Linked DNA regions of Mus musculus. The protein of the gene in region 1 interacts with the protein of each later gene in a biochemical or structural test. Links are inferred from orthologs where the notes say so. Each region holds a gene or a part of one and is shown on either strand. Other genes may lie near its edges.

Region 1 (4,424 bases):
GGCGGAGGACGGGGCCACCCTGCAACCACAGCACGATTGTCGATTGTCGTCCTGAGGAGAGAGAGCGCGAACGCAGACGCGAGTGCGCCTAGAAGCATTTGCGGTGCACAATGGAGGGGCCAGCCTCGTCGTACTCCTGCTTGGTGATCCACATCTGCTGGAAGGTGGACAGCGAGGCCAGGATGGAGCCACCGATCCACACTGAGTACTTGCGCTCAGGGGGGGCGATGATCTGCAAGACAAGAGTGTCACGTGCCTGCGTGTTCCCCCCGCCCCTGGTCTCCACCCACACCAGGCACGTCATCCACCTTGATCTTCATGGTGCTGGGAGCCAGAGCTGTGATCTCCTTCTGCATGCGGTCAGCGATACCAGGGTACATGGTGGTGCCCCCTGACATGACGTTGTTGGCATACAGGTCCTTCCTGATGTCGATGTCGCACTTCATGATGCTGTTGTAGGTGGTCTCATGGATCCCCGCAGACTCCATACCTGGTGTCCGGGGGAGAGGCAGTGTGAGCAACCGCAGAGTCGGGCTAAGGGACCGGCGGGTGGAGACCCCGTACTCTGTGGCGTGGGGCGAGGGAAAACTGATTCCCGCACACCAGCGGATCGGGCGGCTCACCGATAAAGGAAGGCTGGAAGAGCGTCTCCGGGCAACGGAAACGCTCATTGCCGATGGTGATGACCTGCCCGTCGGGCAGCTCATAGCTCTTCTCCAGGGAGGAGGAAGAGGCAGCGGTGGCCATCTCATTCTCGAAGTCCAGGGCCACATAGCACAGCTTCTCTTTGATGTCGCGCACAATCTCACGTTCAGCTGCAGGAGCAAAAGCAGTGGGGGGCCTCAGGGCAAGGCCTGGGGCGTGTGCTCACCCTCTGCCCGCCCTCCCTCAGCGGGCATTGGAAGCACGCACCTGTGGTCACGAAGGAATAGCCACGCTCAGTGAGGATTTTCATCAGGTAGTCAGTGAGGTCGCGACCGGCCAGGTCCAGACGCATGATGGCGTGTGGCAGGGCATAGCCCTCATAGATGGGCACGTTGTGGGTGACACCGTCCCCAGAATCCAACACGATGCCTGTGCAGGGGAGAGGCAGTATGTGAGTGGAGGGGACCAGCAGGCGGCGCAGGTCGGGATACTGCAGAGGATTAAAAAGCGGGGCTGGAATGTTGGAGCAATCCTACCAGGGCCAGCGTGGGCCATGTGTGGGCCATGTGTGAGCGCTTACCGGTGGTACGGCCGGAAGCATAGAGGGACAGCACCGCCTGGATAGCCACATACATGGCAGGCACGTTGAAGGTCTCAAACATGATTTGAGTCATCTTCTCCCGGTTAGCTTTGGGGTTCAGGGGGGCCTCGGTGAGCAGAGTCGGGTGCTCCTCAGGGGCCACACGCAGCTCATTGTAGAAGGTGTGGTGCCAGATCTTCTCCATGTCGTCCCAGTTGGTGATGATGCCATGTTCAATGGGGTACTTCAGGGTCAGGATACCTCGCTTGCTCTGGGCCTCATCACCCACGTAGGAGTCCTTCTGACCCATACCTACCATGACACCCTGCAGATAGAGACATCAGACACTTGTTACTACAGCCAGGGGTGAGGAGAACATTGGCTGGATTCAGAGAGCCTATCTTTCCCTGCCAGCAGCCTGACCTGGTGACGGGGTCGGCCCACGATGGATGGGAACACAGCCCTGGGGGCATCATCCCCGGCAAAGCCAGCTTTCACCAGGCCAGAGCCGTTGTCACACACAAGAGCGGTGGTCTCGTCTTCGTCGCACATGGTGTCTAGTTTCTGCAAAGACAAGGTGTTGAGTGCTGTGTATATGTGATGGGGGGGGGGGGTTAGGGTGAGGCTCCGCTTAACCCATCTTCACTTTGGAGATCCAAAAACTCCTTTCCCCCTTCCCCTTCCTTGCACGGGGGTCAGAGGATGCTCTTCCAGCTTAAGGCTGTGCTTTCGCTATGGGGGAGCTGTCTGTGGATCACACTAAGTCCTCCAACTAGGCATGCAGGGGATATCCTGAGACCCTCTACATTCATTGTAGGCCACCACACACACCACAGCTAGCACTAGTCCTATCCTCTCTGCTCACAATCTCATCTGTGAAGGAGGTATTAAGGCACGCTGCCCACCACCTGCCTGTCCTGTGAGAGGGTCGAGGATTCTGCCCGGGGAAGGGCGATATTGTCACAACTATGGAAAAGCTGTTGAACACTCACAGCATCCCAAACTCAGAAGAAACCCTTCCACCTGTCTCCCATTTCAGAGAAGAGTAGCCAGGGTTGCTGCCCTTTAGAAAAGCCTTGATCTCAAAGGGAGTCGCCCCAAGGCTAAGGCCAGGCTTGACTCTCTCCAAGCTCATCTTCAAATCAGTCTCCCAGGAGCTGGGGTGTAGCTCAGTGGGAGATCCAGCCAACCTCTTGCATCACAAGAGCCCAGATTTGATCCCAGCAGAGAAAGAGGGGAAAGGGGAATGAAAAGCCGGAAAGAAATCTCAACCAACCAGAGGCTGGCGTGTGGCTCAGTAGGAGAGCACCGGCTTGTTCACTTGCAGGACTTGGATTTAGTCCCCAGTAAGAGGGGAGGGAGGAGTCTGCGGGTGGTAATGGATAGATGTCAGACCCCCAGGCATATCCTAAATGCCCAGTCAGCAGCCCAAATGGGCTGGATGTGAGTTTGGAGAAATTTCCAGAACTCAGTGCTAAATACAAGCCCAAGGCTCAATAGCTTTCTTTGCTGGGTCTCCAGGTCACCCTCCCCACCTCCACCCTACCTGCTGCTCTGACTCTGGCCCTGGGTGCCGAGGGTAGGAAGTGAGGCTTCACGTCCGTGTGACCGCCTGTCCCCTTGCACAGGTTTTTATATAGTCCCGGGAGCTCTCCCCACACCGCCCCGAAGGAATGTTGCTGCCCTTCCCAAGCCATATTTGGGTGTCGGGCACTAGAGTCCCTTCCTTCGGCTGGTTCTCAGCCTGGGTCCCCGCCCGGGTCTCCTGCACTGACCAAAGAAGGAGAGGACTGGCCCTGGCCCAGGTAGCTAGGACCGGACCAGGCCGTATATGGAGAGTATCCCCAGCTGTCTGCCCCTCCCAACTGGCTCCAAGGCTCACGGAAGGGCTGTGCTGGGCCAAAGGTCACTGCTTTGCAGACTGCTGGTCTGTACTTCCCAAGATTTACCTGTTTGAAAGGTCTCCCCAGTTCTGCCCACCTGGACACACGATTGCTGACCTGCCACAATGCACCCCATTTATGGGTTCTTAACTCAGACTACTAAGCCTTGATGCTTAAGCTCAGGGGAGGTAGCCCTGTGGTCAGGTGAGCCGGGAGGAGTCATGGGCTCCAGGTAGGGATGGAAAATAAGCCCCACATTTGAACTCCATTTTCTTTCCCACTTTGAAGCTCCCCCAATCCAGAGATCTGACACACATCACCCCCATTCACCCCCACAAGGCTGTCAGTCAGTGTAGGATATGCAGCTGTCACTGGGCAGACAACTGGTGGAAGAGGGGGAGGAGGTAGTGAGAGGAGGCATGGGGACTATGTGGCCCTGGCACACAGAATGGGAGGCCAGGGCATTAGAGCTGTCCCTGCATTCTGCAGTGTACTCTTGAAAGGAATGGAAGGGTCAGTGTGTGTGTGTGTGTGTGTGTGTGTGTGTGTGTGTGTGTGTGTGTAAATCCCAAACTCGGGATTGACCGTCATCGAGTTGGCTAGGCTGAGCAAATGCTACCCCTTCTTTGGTGGCACTAAGCTTCCCTCCCCTGGGTCTGAAAGAAGGATCATACCTGGAACTGTTGGGACCTAGAGGGGGCTGAGGCAGAGAGAGGTGCTGATGAAGATATACCTTCTAAGGAGCACTAAGACCTTACACTGGTGCCCAGGAGCGGCCCCTCCCAGGCAGACTCATCTTTATATTTAGAGGATGATGCCCGTCAGCCCGGCTGCTTCCCATGCACCTTGGGGCCACCACCTGCCAGGCTTGTGTGGGTTCTATTTATACCGCTGATAGATGGGAATCTGCTTTTGGGTTTCTAGAAGGAGCAACTTATGGAAGCTGGGATGGGGGTGAGTAGAGGTCATCTCTTGGCGCCTGTCTCAATTTGGGCAGGGAGAGGGATAAGAAAGCCCAAAGGAAAAGTGTTCTGTGACCAAACAGGCGACATGCTTTGAGGGGTGTGCATCAGAGCCAAGCCACCATGGAGCCATTCACTTTTCTGATGGCTTAAGCGCTCCCAAAATAGCTGTTCCCATTTGGAGTGGAACTTAGCAGCTGGGACAGGTGCAGAGCCTCTGAGAGCAGAGGCTCCATGAAGCGATTTCAGGATCCCACACAGCTCTTCCTAAACCTGAGCTGCACTGCCTAACGGGCATCAGCTCTGTGGCTTTGCCTGTGCCCTGGGCCAGGACCTGGAACTGTTAAAAAGAAG
Region 2 (3,624 bases), on another chromosome or scaffold:
ATAATTATTAATTATATCAATCATTTAAATAATTGTTTTACAGAAGAACATAGAATCACATTGCTCCAGATCCAAAGCAAAGCCCAAAGGTGTCATTCTGAACTTTCCGTTACACCTGTGACTCATCTGCCAAGCCCCACCCTTTCCTCTTGACCAGTTTGGCAATTTTTATTTATCCTTTTTGCATGATTACTGGAAGGATGTATAATGTAAGCGCACACTAAGCACATTTCCCTGTAGCTGGCCTTTTGGCTATTACCTTCCTGGAAATTTACAGCTTCCTGGAGTGGGTGTGTGTCTAACAGCCATGCCATCCCTTTGGGTTGCTGTACTGTGGTTTACTGACAAGCTCCCACACCCATGCATGCTTGGGTGCTAGTCCGCTGTCTCATCAGTGTCAGTGACTTTAAGCAACAGGTGGGTGTGTAGAGAAGTCTCTATGATGAGTTCCCAGGAGTGGATTGCCAGTCAATGGACCTGTCAGTCATTTTGATAGATAGCTCCAGTTTCCCTGGCTAGTGCCTGGGCCTTTCATATCCCTGTACTCCTGCCAGCTACATGCAGGAGTCCCTGTTTCCCTGGATCCACCTAAGCAGATTGTGTTGTTAAAACTCATGGATAGTTTATAAAGTGTTGTTTTTTTTTTTTTACTTTAAGTTTGCATTGGGGGTCAGGGTGTGGCTCAGTGGCAGAACACTTGTGTGCATGCTGGCGGCTCTGGGTCCCTCCCCTAGTACTGAAAGATAAACAATAACATACTGGTGACCCTGTTACTAGACACTCTCAGACTTTTGTCTGAATAATAGTTGTCATATTTCTTCTCCATTGAAGTTTCATTTTGAAATAATTTTAGACCTACTGAAGAGTTGAAAAAAAAAAAACCCACAAAAGAAACCAAAGCAAGAAACCCTGGTCAGTTCTCACATAAGTTCTGCCCCGCCTGCTTCCTTTCACAGCCCAGGCAGCCGTGGGCCGGCTGATGCAGTGCTGTGCATCTGTCTGTGTCTACTCTGTGTCACCAGGTCCGCATTCCTCAGTCTTTCCTGGCCCAGGCCCTAACCCAAGATCCCATGGGACATCTCTAGGGCTTAGGACCCCAAGGGGTCTCCTAAGCCTTCTGGGACTGTGACACCGATTACCGCTCCTTTATGACCGTAGCCCCTGAAGAGTGGTACCCAGGAATCAAGTGCACACACTGTCTGGCAATCCCATATTTTTAAAAGCTTCTGCTTTTTGTTTGCTTGTTTATCTTGTTTTGTTTTGTTTGTTTGTTTCGGTTTTTCGAGCGAGACAGGGATTTTCAGTGTAGCCCTGGCTGTCCTTGAACTCACAGATATCCACATGCCTTCACTTCCCAAGTGCTGTCACTAAAGGAGTGTACCACTGCTGTCTGACTGAGAGCATCAGCATTTAAAAGCTAAATACAGATATCGTTATTGCAGGGACATGGGGATGCTGAAGTTTGAACCCAGAGCCTAGCATATGCTAGGCAAGCCACTGCCAGTGATACCATTTTTTACCTTTTATTTTGAGACAGAGCCCCACTAATTTGCCCATGCAGGCCTTGAACTTGCAATCCTCCTCCCTTAATTCCCCAGGTAGCTGAAACTGCAGTCCTGTATCACTAAGTTCAACATACGATTCAAACGTCTTAGGAGGCTTTTTGACATATGGTGTGTGCCAGGGACAATATAAGGCCCAGCCTTGGCAAGAAGCTGAGGTGGGGGGACCTTGAGTCTCCCTAACTCTCCCTCTCAGGGAAGTTACCACACACAGCACACATCCAGGAGTCCTTTTCACATGTCCCCATGAGGGTGATTGACTGGTGTCTTTCCTCACAGATGGCACACATCATGCCAGCTGTTTCTGTCTTTTTATACCAGCAAATGCCCCGACTACTTTTGTGCATCTGAGTCTCAGTACGCTCTTTGTATGTCTATCAGAGGACCCAGGGAGTTCCGCAGGCACATTTAGGACAGGGAATCTTCCCGGTGTACCTGAGCTAGGAGTAGGCAGGTTGACAAAGCTGCTGTCTCTGGCTCTCCCCACAGTCCCTGCACTTTTCCATCCCAGGTCACCCCTACAACAAGCAGCTTCATGGGTTACTAGAGCTCAGAGCAAGAAAGAGGCCCATAAACTAGGAACTATGGAAACTAGAGCTGAGTCTTTCTCCCTCTTCTAGGCAGGGTGCCCAGTCTACCCAGGATGAGGTTGCTGCTTCTGCCATCCTGACTGCCCAGCTGGATGAGGAGCTGGGAGGAACTCCTGTCCAGGTGAGCCAGAGTATTGCCTCTTATGGCTTCAGTCAGGACTTCATCTGTTTGCTCACTTAGCTGCCTAATTATCCATCCGTTCATCCGTCATCCATCTATCATCCATCCATCCACCCATCCATCCACCCATCCATCCACCCATCCATCTATCCACCTGTCCACTTATCCATCCATCCACCCATCCATCCATCCATCCATCCACCCATCCACCTATCCATCATCCATCCATCCATCCATCCATCCACCCACCCACGCATCCATCCATCCATCCACTCACCCACCCATACATCTATCCATCTGTCTATCTACTCACCTACCCATGCAATAAACGTTTATGCATGGCCCCTATGCACTAGACTTAATGTCTGTATCCAGATATATATATCTCCCTTGGTTGTCCACCAGGGGATGACACAGTTGATCCCTGCAGGGCACATTTAGGACAGGAAATCTATGTGCTGTGTTTAGATCTAAGTAAGAAGACAGGCTAGAGATAGGGGAAAGTTGGAAGTTGGGGCCATATGGGGTACAGTGGTGCCTCCAGACCCGAAAGGCTCTTTGCATTCCCTCACGCTTTCATGTGTCTGGGACTGACCTCAGCATTCTGAAAGAATGTACTCAAGCACTCCGTCCTTCCTTTTAAGGTCATGTTTATAAACTTGGACTTCCCTGGTTTTTGGACCGGACTCAGGGGCTGTAAGGCAAGGCTTCACAGGGATGGATGGTGGGAAAACAGCACCCAGGGGGCCTGAGCAGTGACATCATCTCCAACTTTCTCTTCTCAGTACTGTGGTGCTGCAGAGTATGATTGATGTTGTTCCCTGCACAGTGCCCCCAACCATAGTCAGACACAGTGTGGTGGCCTTCCTGGAGGAATGGTCCAGGACCATTAAAAAGAAAAAGAAAAGCTGACTCTTTCCTTTCTCACTGCCAGAGCCGAGTGGTCCAAGGCAAAGAGCCTGCACACCTCATGAGCTTGTTTGGCGGGAAGCCCATGATCATCTACAAGGGTGGCACCTCCCGTGATGGTGGGCAGACAGCTCCTGCCAGTATCCGCCTCTTCCAAGTGCGAGCCAGCAGCTCTGGAGCCACCAGGGCTGTGGAGGTAACGCCAGGTTCCAGAACATGGGCAGCTCTGCCCTCCTCAAGTCCTCTGGGCCCAGTGGGTTGCCCTCCAGTGGCCTGGGTGGGAGGAGGAGGCAGACGCACCAGAGCTTCCTCCCTGGCAGCCCCTTACTCCTCCAGGATTCCTCACACGCTTTCCCACACTCCCTTCCCTAGAATTCACTCTGTGCAGCCAGGACGGCATGTGTGATTCTGTTCCAGCAGACACTATGGTCTTGGTGCTGTG
Region 3 (4,059 bases), on another chromosome or scaffold:
TCATTTGCAAACTGGCCGCTAGACAAGGACAAACCAATTCTAAATTCCTTTCTAAAGCAAATACTATTTTTACCCTAAATTCCACTTGTTCAATACCAGATAGTTGGTTAGCCAAGTTCATGTTGATACCTAATGCTAGTGTACCAAACCAACACCCTTTGCGTTGAGTGATATGTAATAAATTCAATGTTGGCTTTCCAAAACTCCTGAAAGGCTCTAACTACACGTGAGTTCCTCCCCCCTACCCCTTCATTCCACAGCCCCCTTCTTCCAACCATGGTGGCTATACCAATTTCAAATATTTTCATTAACTCTTCCATGTAACCCATGAGGAACTCTTATGATGACCTCCCAATCATTTGCTATAGACAGGGTATTTCACAGACCTGGACTAAGCCAGAGCTGTTAGGCCAAGGCAGTTTACGTTTGTCTCTTCTATGTCCCAGTGACCAAGAGGCAAGGCAGTTTTGCAAGGGTTTTATCACTCATTTAACTACTCCTTCCAGTCACCAAGCAGACACACCAATCAGGTTTTAAAACTTTATTTGCATATTAAAAAAATTGTGCATTCCAATAATTAAAATTGTTTGAACAAAAAAAAATGGCACTCTGATTAAACTGCATTTTACATCCTGCAGGACATCTTTGACCATCTTGAATTTTCCTCTCTATTTCATCATCTCCCACCCAGCTTTTTCCTTCACCAACATGCAAGTTCTTTTCCCTCTCTGCTAGCCAGACCATCAGATGGGTGGGAGAGGCAGGGGAGGCCTTCCTGCTCAGTAGTTCTGATTCTTTGATGTGAAAGGGGCAGCACAGTCATTTAAACTTGATCCAACCTCTTTGCATCTTACAAAGTTAAACAGCTAAAAGAAGTAAAATAAGAAGGCAATGCTCGTGGAATGTACAGTGCATATTGGCGGCGCTCGCCTCATTACGATTCGCCAGCTTGCTTCTCTTGTTCAATTGCTGTGAAGAAAAGAAAAAAAAAAGGAGACTTAGAGCATTCTATAAAATGACATGATTTCCATTTAAAAACCCTATAAAAATTCTAGAAAGACACATAGCAGCCTCGCTAAGCAAGACATGCTAAACAGAAGTACAGTTACCCAATAAATGTATATGCACAATATGGAATATGAAATATTCCATTATTAAATCACTAGAGCCCGGCGCTTGTTGACTGCAAAACAGTTTTTAATTAACCTTTGCAGGCCATATTCATCATCATCAAACTGTCGACTCCTCCCCCGCAGCCCCCCCCCCCATCCTCCCTGCTGCCCCTCCCTTCCTCCTCCCGGCCGCTGCTCCCCGCTCTGCTCTGCTCCCGCCCAGCCCGTTCTGAAAATGGGTGGGGGCGAACAGCTTACTTTCTTTTGAAGGCAGAGGATTTTTCTCTTGCGTTTCTGTTTTCTTCAACTTCGACTTATCGAATTTCTCGATCTCAGCCATATCGGGTTTGTCAGACATGGTTGCTGGAAGGAGCTGCAGGTACAAAAGCCAAGACCAGAGCTAAGAAAGAGCCACCCACCCTCGCCTCTCCCAGTTCCAAAAGCACACCCCCACCCCGCCGGAAAGCCCAAAGCCTGAAATCCTACTGCCTCTCCCTCTGTGTGCTTTCCTTGTCGAGTCCTCTCTAAAGATCTTCCTCTTTCTATAGGAAAAAAATCTTCCCCCTTAATATTCCCAAAGGGAAGATTCAAAGAACGAAGGTGGAAATAGTCAAAGGTGAGTATTCCCGTATAATAAAATTCACCATTGCGGAATGTTAACATTGCAGCTTTGAAAAAATTAAAGTCTGGATAGATCGAAGCCATTTCCAGTTTAAGTGGGGGAAAGTCTAGTAAAATCTCTTAAAAAGGAGCCAAGGTCGCAATACGCATCTCCGTTTTCTAGAAGGGCTTGCTCTCCAAAAGATGCCAGGCGGTCCAGCTTTCTCCTCCTCACAAAGGCGGGGGAGCTGACGCCGCCAGCTGCCGACCACCGCCCTACTCGCTTCCTCTCCTCTCTCTAGTCCAACAATGCTGCCTTGGCACACAAAACTGCCTCCCCACTTCTCGCAAAAGCATCTTGATCTGCATACAGGGGCCTTTTGACGGCCTTTGCATACATTCGTCTGCAAGGGCTTCCGAATTTTCACGCTAAAGGCCGGGAAGGTTAAACCCGCCACAGATAACAGCCCTCGAAGCCATTAGGCGATTAAGGGGAGCACAGAGCGTTTGAACAAAGGATCTTTCTAATTCTGATTAATTACAGCTAGCTAGGCAAGGGAAAATATTTCGGAGAGAGGGTCGAGGAGAAAAAAAAAACAATTCCCCTCTAAGCTGCGCAACAGAATGCCCAATTTTATGGGGTTTTCTCTTTCTTAATCAAGTTCCCCTTCCCGTTACTCGGCATCTGGAAGAGTTTAGCATCCCCCCCCCCCAATTCCCCGAAACTACCATGCCTTGGACTTGGCTTTAAGGACGAGGAGGATGAGGGGCAAGTGCCTGCGCTGGACAGGCAGGGAAGGACAGAAGGAAGGGGCCCTGGGGCTCACCCGAGCGAGCTGCGCGAACGAGGAGAGTCTGATCTGCTCAGAAGCCGCTGCGGATTGTCGGGAGGGGCGCGGCGAACGCCGCTTTATGTGTGCTTCTATGCAAATGAGGTGATGTCACTCGTAGTCCGGCTTAACTCCTTCGCGCCGCATCTCCGGAAGGGCGTTCGGAGGCTGTCAGACCCCCTCCCAACCCCCACATCCCCATTCACCAGCGCCTTTGAACCACATCGATGGCGGAACTAGAAAAGGAACAAACGCCTTCAAAATGCTTTCCCCCCCATTTGACGTCTATTTTATTATCATGAACTTTTGCAGCAGCCGCCCAAACCTGTTCTTAAGGTTCAATGCGTGATAACTAATGGCCTGAGTGGCACCTAAGGGGACAGGCTTTTCTTTACTTTGAAACCGGCTTTGTCTGCAGCCAACGCCCCCAAGATAGGGTGAGGTGTCCCTCATACAAGAGCTGCTGGGGTCTGATTCCAATGACTCAGCTTTCAGACCAGTGGACAGCCCCACCCGGCCCTCTTTGTCTCCCTCGCTTGTCTCCCCCTTGATTTGAGAGGGCGATAAAGGATCCTTGAGTGGATTTTTAAAAGAAAAGTTTTAGCGCCGCAGCATTTGTATTGTTTGCTATAATTTCCGTGAGCAATCGAGTCAAGTGCCTAACATTTGCTAGGTGTAAGGGGGCTTCAGAGAGAACACAGCCGGCCCCTTCAAAATTAAGTCAAAGTCAACTTCTGTTACTGACTGACAATAAGGAAGTTCATTTTCCTTTTCTTATTTTCATCAATTAAAAGTGATTGCTAATGGGAGCCAAGGATTCCCAAAGACCACAAGTCCATCAGCTCTATTATCTGAGGATTGAAGCTGAAGCGCGAACTAGCTTTTGAAGGGAAGGTTTTCCCTGCAACACATGTGGACGATTCAGGTAGAGATGTGCCGGTTTCAAAATGGCACCTGAGTCCGTAAGTCGCAGGGACCCACTTGCTACTAAAAAGTAATTACAGATACCAAGCTTGTGCCTGCAAGTGGCAGGTGGTTGGAGGTAGCTCCGTAGGATATTTTTAAAAGGGCATCGCTGGGATTATATCTGAGACACAGAGAACTATAAAACATTCCTTCTCCTTTTCTGTGCCCTGGAGGGATGTTTCCAGAAAGCCTTTGCTAAGCATTTTTATGGCAGAGGCTTTGCCTCTCTGGTAATGTCAAGTGTTATTAGGGACCCTAAACTGCCGCTGCTGGAGCAGCTTGGACTTCCCCATTTCTTCATCTACTTCCCTTTTACTTGGGAGGAAGGAGATGGGGGTAGGGAGGAGCAGGTGACCCATGTGGTTCCCCAGTTAATGCTCTACTTGGGAGACTGCCTTTCTGCCCTTTGGATGGGGCCCTAGACCTGTTTGAGCGCGCATTAGATGTCACTTCTCTGGTAACACATCCTCTCTCTCCCCATGTCCACTTGGAGGGAGTTCACTGCATTGTTGAAACACAGAACACATCTTGCAGGGTGCATTTCTGACTTC

The links.
Region 2: the proteins of Acta1 (region 1) and Gsn are reported together in a solved structure, tested with the Homo sapiens proteins (3 studies listed by BioGRID and IntAct). The link is inferred for Mus musculus from reciprocal best matches to the Homo sapiens genes ACTA1 and GSN.
Region 3: the proteins of Acta1 (region 1) and Tmsb4x form a complex in vitro, tested with the Homo sapiens proteins (2 studies listed by BioGRID). The link is inferred for Mus musculus from reciprocal best matches to the Homo sapiens genes ACTA1 and TMSB4X.

The regions. Positions count from the first base shown.
Region 1 is NC_000074.6:123,891,921-123,896,344, forward strand, and holds the start of Acta1 (actin, alpha skeletal muscle), read right to left. Parts: upstream 2,856-4,424; 5' UTR 2,772-2,855; intron 2,592-2,771; exon of another isoform or gene 2,502-2,591; intron 1,790-2,501; 5' UTR 1,778-1,789; coding exon 1,649-1,777; intron 1,551-1,648; coding exon 1,226-1,550; intron 1,075-1,225; coding exon 913-1,074; intron 816-912; coding exon 624-815; intron 491-623; coding exon 309-490; intron 233-308; coding exon 89-232; 3' UTR 1-88. UniProt on the Homo sapiens protein: Actins are highly conserved proteins that are involved in various types of cell motility and are ubiquitously expressed in all eukaryotic cells.
Region 2 is NC_000068.7:35,299,284-35,302,907, forward strand, and holds part of Gsn (gelsolin isoform 1 precursor), read left to right. Parts: intron 1-2,182; coding exon 2,183-2,273; intron 2,274-3,207; coding exon 3,208-3,378; intron 3,379-3,624. UniProt on the Homo sapiens protein: Calcium-regulated, actin-modulating protein that binds to the plus (or barbed) ends of actin monomers or filaments, preventing monomer exchange (end-blocking or capping).
Region 3 is NC_000086.7:167,206,567-167,210,625, forward strand, and holds Tmsb4x (thymosin beta-4), read right to left. Parts: upstream 2,653-4,059; 5' UTR 2,540-2,652; intron 1,486-2,539; 5' UTR 1,471-1,485; coding exon 1,371-1,470; intron 970-1,370; coding exon 935-969; 3' UTR 528-934; downstream 1-527.